Mus musculus: one gene and its partner. The protein of the gene in region 1 binds, or shares a complex with, the protein of each later gene. Links are inferred from orthologs where the notes say so. Each region holds a gene or a part of one and is shown on either strand. Other genes may lie near its edges.

Region 1 (3,819 bases):
ACTCACTTTGTAGACCAGGCTGGCCTCAAACTCAGAAATCCGCCTGCCTCTGCCTCCCAAGTGCTGGGATTAAAGGCCTGCACCACCACCGCCCAGCACAAAAACCTTTTCTTTTGCTCCCTAGTCTCAGATCACTGGTTCTTTTTAGTTCAGTAGACTATGAAATACTAATCTGTGTAGACAGCCAGAAGCTGGAGAGGAAACAAACAGCCAGGTAAAACCCAACTATGAAGTCAGGCCGAGCACCATAGTCACAAGGCTTTTCTGCCACCAGCAAACAGTCCCCTTGACTCCGATGTTGTGTTTCAATAATAAAATTCCTGACCATCACAGAAGTAAAATTGTTTAAATAGAATCTGTTTTTATCCCTGTCTCCCAACTTTCCCTCTTTTTTCTTTCACTCATTCCTTTCCTTTTTTCTTCCATCCTTCCTTTATTCTTTTCTTTTCTTGAGATAGGGTCTCACTGTATACCCTTGGTTAATCTAGAACTCATAGAGATCTGCCTGCCTCTTCCTCCTGAGTTATGTAATTAAAAACATCCACTTTTACTTTAAGCTGGTTGTGGTGGCGCATGCCGGTTACTGAAGGAGGCAGAGGCAGGAGGATCACGAGTTCGAGGCCAGCCTGGGCCACTATTACTTTAAAAAGTGATCACAATGTGTTTTTGGTTTTTTTAGCTGTTTTTTTGTTTGTTTTTATTTTTGAAGACAGGGTTTCTCTGTGTAGCCCTGGCTGTCCTGGAACTCTGTAGACCAGGCTGGCCTTGAACTCAGAAACCCACCTGTCTCTATTTCCCAAGTGCTGGGATTAAAGGCATGCACCACCACTGGCCAGCAAAGGAAAGCTTTTAAAAGGAAAGGCCGTTAGAGCATGCCATTCTGTCTGCCAACCCCAGCTTAGCTGTGGCAGATGGGATGAGGGAGGTTAGACTTGGTTATTTAATTGAACTCTCAACCGTGCAGCCTATAGTTTTACTGTTTGAAGTAAGAACAGCTACCTGGATGACTGACTCTGGCCTCATACCCAAGATTCTCCTGCCTCAGCAGCCACATCTGATACAGTACTCTTTTGATGGAGTTACAAAGCCAGGGCCTCACATATAGTAGGCAAGCACTCTAGCACTGAGCTGCATCTTCAGCTGGATCCCTGCTGGTGTAATTGCACCATGCCACACGACTGGAATACTTCTTTGGCCAGGGTGGTACTTGATACTAGTTATTTGTTTACAGGTAGCTTTTGAAAATGGCTGCCTCTCATTACAGTGGGCTTACAGCAGTTGCTGATGTAATTAAAGATCTAGACACTCAGATAGCAGTAAGTAAATTCTTGGAGGCTGCCATGGGCAGAACTTGGTGAATGTGCTTCTGATCTTGACACCACAGCCGATGTCCAGAGTCAGTCTAATGGCTCTAAAATGTAGGATTTCTGGCTGCTTTAGGCAAGAGCCTCAGCATGTCTTGAAGAATGCTAAAACACAATGGAAAAAGTTTGTTACCAGGAAAGCAGAGTTCTTAATAGTTGCTAAAAGTTGTGTTTGTTGGGCAGAGCCCTGCCTTGGATGTAAGCATGTTTTGGAATGCTTCACCATGTTTTGAAAGTGAACTAATTGTTTTCTTAAGCTTTGTGACTGAGTTTCAAGTATTTGATTGTGCTTCTGTTTATTTGAATTTAACATTATTTGATACTTAAAATAATGCATGTACGTACTTAACCCAGTATTCTGCTTGTATGAAACCCTTTAAAATGTCTTACTTATTCTAGTTTACTTTTTAAAATAAGATTGCTGATTTCACTTACTTTTTTCCTTATTTCAATTTTGTGAACTATTTCATTTCCGTTTTGGAGACAAGATGGTTTCTAAAAACCAGGTGAGAGCAATGAAATTCCTTATTCCCTCCATTTTAATGTCAACGTCAAGAGGTCACCCTCTCAGATAAGACTCAGAGTCTGACAGCTTTCCTGTTACTTTCAGAACTCAGCCAGCACTGCAGGTGTCTCTAGAGTAACCCTGTCTGTTTCCCTTCTACAGCTGATTGGCCTTGGTCCTCACAGCTCTAAAAAGAAGCAGGATCTTGACAAGCTCTATGAGTTGAAGTCTAAAGCTCGGCAGATTATGAACCAGTTTGGCCCTTCAGCGCTAATCAACCTCTCCAGTTTCTCATCTGTAAAACCAGAGCCAGCTAGCACCCCGCCACAAGGCTCCATGGCCAATAGCACCACCGTGGGGAAGATAGCAGGCACTCCTGGGACAGGTGGTCGTCTCAGCCCTGAAAACAACCAGGTACTCCCGAGCCTTTCTTCCTCAGAGCCCCCTCTCTAATTTGGCCCTGTCCATACAGAGATGGATGTTGTCAGGCGCTCATTCTTTCTGTTGAAGAAGGTCTTCCACTCTACCAGTTTTATTGAATTATTGTCTACAGTGTCAGGTCTGTTTTTTGTTTTTTAAGATTTATTTATTTATTTCGTGTATGTGAGTACACTGTAGCTGTCTTCACACACATCAGAAGAGGGCATTGGCTCCCCATTACAGATGGTTGTGAGCCATCATGTGGTTTCTGGGAATTGAACTCAGGACCTCTGGAAGAGTAGTCAGTGCTTTTAACCGCTGAGCCATCTCTCCAGCATCAGTTTTTGCTCTTTTGTTCCTTCTTGTAGTTTATCTTACTGCTGCCATCAATGTCAGCAGGGATTCCCTCTTCATACCTGTGAGCCTGATTCCACCCTCTAGAGCAACAAGAAAAGAAGTACACCTTTGCCTTGGATCGTGTAGGCTGCATAGGACGGTTGAGGAGCAATTTCAAGGGAGTGGGAAGAAGGACTGGCCGAGCTGCTTGGGGAACGGTTGGCTGAGCAGAGACCAGCCTGTGTTGACTCTGGAAGCCACTGGAAAAGAACAAGAGAAAGTGGGTGTGGAGGTCACACCTGTGATCCCAGCACTTTCGAGGTGGTAGGAGGAAGGTCAGGAAACAAGTTCAGGACCCTGTCTCAAAGAAACAGAGGGTCACCAAGTAGCAGCCAGTAAAGGCACATGCGGCTAAGCTTGACAATCGGAGTTCAGTCCCCATGTCTGTGGTGGAAGGAGAGATCCTAATTCCTCAAGTTACTTCCACATATGCATTATGGTGGGCACATGTAAACATATACACACACCTAACTGCTGTAAAGCCTTTAATACTAGCACTCAGAAGGCTGAGTCAGGCAGCTCTGAGTTCAAAGCCAGCCTGCTCTACAGAGTGAGCCCCAGGACAACCAGAGCTACATTGTGAGGACCTGTCTCACAAAAAGGGGTTGGGAGTACACACGGTTTGTTGTTTGTTTGTGTTTGTGGTGCTGGGAATCCACTGTAGGATCAAGCCAGGCAAGCAATGTACAGCTAAGCTGAATCTTCAGCTCCCTCATCATGTTTTAATGTAATTTAGATGTGGCATCCCTTTCCTTAGGAAAGAGGGGTGGTAACTTTAGCTGCTTACACATTACTTAGGTATACTCAGATACCTAAATAATTTAGGTGGTTACATGTTGGTTGCCCTCATAGAACTGTTAGATTTTCTTTCTCTCTTTTCTTCTCTTTCCTTTTCTTTTTTTTTCTTTTCTTTTCTTTTTTCTTTTTTTTTTTTTTTTTTTTTTTTTTTTTTTTTTTTTTTTTTGGTTTTTTTTGACAGGGTTTCTCTGTGTAGCCCTGGCTGTCCTGGAACTCACTCTGTAGACCAGTCTGGCCTCAACTCAGAAATCTGCCTGCTTCTGCCTCCCAAGTGCTGGGATTAAAGGCGTGCGGCACCGCTGCCTGGCTTCTGGCTTCTTTTCTCTTTTCTTGTCT
Region 2 (3,098 bases), on another chromosome or scaffold:
TAAAAGAACTCAGTACCCTGGAAAATATTGGGTCCTACTGTGGTGCTATAGCAATTTTTTTAATGTATCTCAGAGTCACAAGTCTGCTAATGTCAAGTAAGGTCAGCCAGCAGCAGGACCAGCCATGCATGGTGGCTTCACCCACTGGACACCCCCACTTGGGGGACGCTGCTGGTTCTTTCCCCATGGTGCAGTGTCCCCCAAGTTAGAGCTGGCAGTCAGAGACAGCTTTCTCCACATTCCTCTAGAACAGTTTCAGGTCAAGGTGGATTGCTTTATAGAGATTTTTGAAATAGTAACTTTTGAGCAAGTCCATGCATACAGCAGAACATGCCCAGTCTTGGTAAGCCCTCACAAAGAAACCCTGGTCGTTCACATATCGAGTCAGTGCAGTGCTAAAGGCATAGGACGAGGACACCTTGCAAAATCTGTAGTGAAGTCATATGCTGTCTTACTGTGAGGACATTTAAAAGGAAGCGTGACTCGGCGCTCCTTTCCAGTGTCCATGCAGTTCTGATAATGTGACATTTGAGAAAGCTGTCCAGTTAGGAGCGCTCCCTGTTGAGAACGAAGTCAGAACTTCCAGAACACACAGCATTTGGAGCATAATAATCATTTAGTTCGTTGGCCCCATGAGCCTCTTCTTTCCTCCGCCCTTTAGTTGATTGTGCTTTTCTAAAATGTCATAAAGGGAATGGAAAGTTACTCAGTAACAGCTCTTTTCCATCCTTGATCTTATCACCTAGCTCAGGAGCAGGGCCTGGCTAATGAGTAATGACGGCGCGCATGCACACTTGACTGTCTGTGCTAGACCGTGGCTGAGGGGATACAGAAAGCTGAGGGCTTTCTAACTCTCACTTGCTTCTGCCCGACACCCCATAATCATTGGGGGTTTGTGAGCTTATAGGATTCTTAGGTGAAGCCGACTCAGGTTGTGTTCCACGGTTCCCAGAGATGACTCTGTGATGCTTTGCTTTTAGTGATTTATAAAGCAGTTTAGAATGTGCATTAGAAATGTGTCCTTCTATCCAGGCATGGCAGCACACACCAGAAATCCCAGTTCTCAGGAAGTAGAGGCAAAGATTGCAGTTCAAAACCAGCCTGGACTATATAGTGACTGCCAAGCCAAGCCTGCCTGAGCTCATGAGATCTGCCTCAACAACAACAATAACAACAAATCGGAGCGGGGTGTGTGAGGGAGAGTGTAAGAGTAGGGGAAACTGAGAGGGAGAGAGCTAGGAGAGAGTGAGAGGAGGGAGTGTGTGAGGGAAGAGGAGGAGGAGGACGCTGTTCCTGAATGACCAGGTGTTCTCCTCTTTATGGATCCAGAGCAGAGGCGACTGATGGTCGCGTACAACAGTGCTAATGCATGCACCTAGCTTGTTGGTTTACTGTGGCCAGTATAAAGCAGCATTCTTACCTGCTTCTTTCCCCCCACACCATCTGTTTCTGCTCTGCACTTTACCACCAGATCCGTGATGAGTGGGGCAATCAGATCTGGATCTGTCCAGGGTGCAACAAGCCTGATGACGGGAGCCCGATGATTGGCTGTGACGACTGTGACGATTGGTACCACTGGTGAGTGCCCCCACCCCCGAGTGTCAGACAGCAACGCAGGTCGAGCTGGAGCAGGTGTCCTCCCCAGCTAGCATCTTAGACGGACTCAGCTCCTCTCTTGACGACAGTCTAATGGAGCCTGCAGAGTAAAGTGACTGAAGAGTTAGCTGTGCTGTTGTTCCAGAGCCTGGCCCGTGGATGCTCGGCTTCAGATATATATCCTCTCTTATAAAAATACGTAAGGGTGTAGGGTCCCCCTCCTCCCTGTCACTGGCATTGGGAGGGAGAGCTACAACACGTGTCTGTGTGGGCTTGAGAAGAGACTCAGACAGCAGGTTTGCTTCTGAAGCTTGCAAAGATGCTCAGCCAAAATGTGTTCAGCTGCGTTTCATTCCTAAGCTGCCTCTTTGGATCTGATGTGTGCTGTCTACGATAGACCCGAGCCGGGTGAGCTGGGCTGCTGCTAACTTCAGCACTCTAATGCTGAGAATCACAAGTTTGAGACCAGCCTTGGCTACATAGTGAGTTTGAGGTCAACCTGGGCTATCTTAGACTCTTTCCCACCCTCAGCCTCTACTCCCAAATTAAAACGTAAAAGCAAAGCCATTTGCATTATACTATTCCTGATGGAAAGTACAAATAATCTATATGATCTCGCGATACAGAAGGCATTATATAATATAGCCTAAATAACCAACATTAGTGCAAAGAACCTTTGGGTGAATTTTTGGTACATACATCATTTTTTGTGCTTATTTCTATTGTGGGAGTGGAGCATGCTGTATTGGTTTGCACATCATTTTAGCCCATGCATGTGAAGGTCAGAGAACCACTGAAAGGAGCCAGTTCTCCACTTCTAAGCCCATCATGTGGCTCAGAAGACTATGTTGTCAGGCATCGTGGCCAGTGTCTTTATCTGTTGAGCCGTATCACCATGTCTTAAAAAAATCATTTTAAAGCATCAAACAAAGAAGGGATTGGTTTAACTCAGTTGGTAGAGTGGTTCCTTAGCGTGCAGGAGGAGCCTTAGGGTCCATCCCCACAGCTGCAGAAGCTGACTGCGAGGGTTCACACATCCCAGCTCAGGAGGTAGAGGCAGGAAGACCAGGAGGTCACGGTCAGCCTTGACTGTACCAGGAAGAAATGACCCCTTTGAAAACATGGCACAAGAGCTGAAGAACACTGCCTGCTCCTCCCGAGCAGGGAAGTCCCGCACCCCAGGGGAGTTCACAATGGGCTGCAGCTCCATTGACAGGAGTCAGACATGCTCTTCTGTTCTCAGGCAGCACCAGGTACACAAAATGATGCGCAGGCAAAATAACACAGAACACACATAACAAAACAAAAACTTTAAACTTACTTTTTTTAGGAAGCATACAGCTTGCAGACCCTGCCTCAGAAAAAGAAAATTATAAACATAAGAAACTTACTGGACTGGAGAGATTGCTCAGAGGTTAGGAATACTGTCTGCTCTTCTAGAGGTCAATTCCCAGCCACCACATGGTGGCTCAAAACCATCTGTAATGGGATCCGATGCCCTC

The links.
Region 2: Taf12 (region 1) and Taf3 share a complex: the UniProt entries of both Homo sapiens proteins name them as parts of the TFIID basal transcription factor complex. The link is inferred for Mus musculus from reciprocal best matches to the Homo sapiens genes TAF12 and TAF3.

What each region holds. Positions count from the first base shown.
Region 1 is NC_000070.6:132,280,763-132,284,581, forward strand, and holds part of Taf12 (transcription initiation factor TFIID subunit 12), read left to right. Parts: intron 1-1,295; exon of another isoform or gene 1,296-1,316; intron 1,317-1,852; coding exon of another isoform or gene 1,853-1,870; intron 1,871-2,031; coding exon of another isoform or gene 2,032-2,115; coding exon 2,116-2,283; intron 2,284-3,819. UniProt on the Homo sapiens protein: The TFIID basal transcription factor complex plays a major role in the initiation of RNA polymerase II (Pol II)-dependent transcription.
Region 2 is NC_000068.7:9,916,583-9,919,680, reverse strand, and holds part of Taf3 (transcription initiation factor TFIID subunit 3), read left to right. Parts: exon of another isoform or gene 1-1,471; coding exon 1,472-1,578; exon of another isoform or gene 1,579-1,696; intron 1,697-2,987; exon of another isoform or gene 2,988-3,017; intron 3,018-3,098. UniProt on the Homo sapiens protein: The TFIID basal transcription factor complex plays a major role in the initiation of RNA polymerase II (Pol II)-dependent transcription.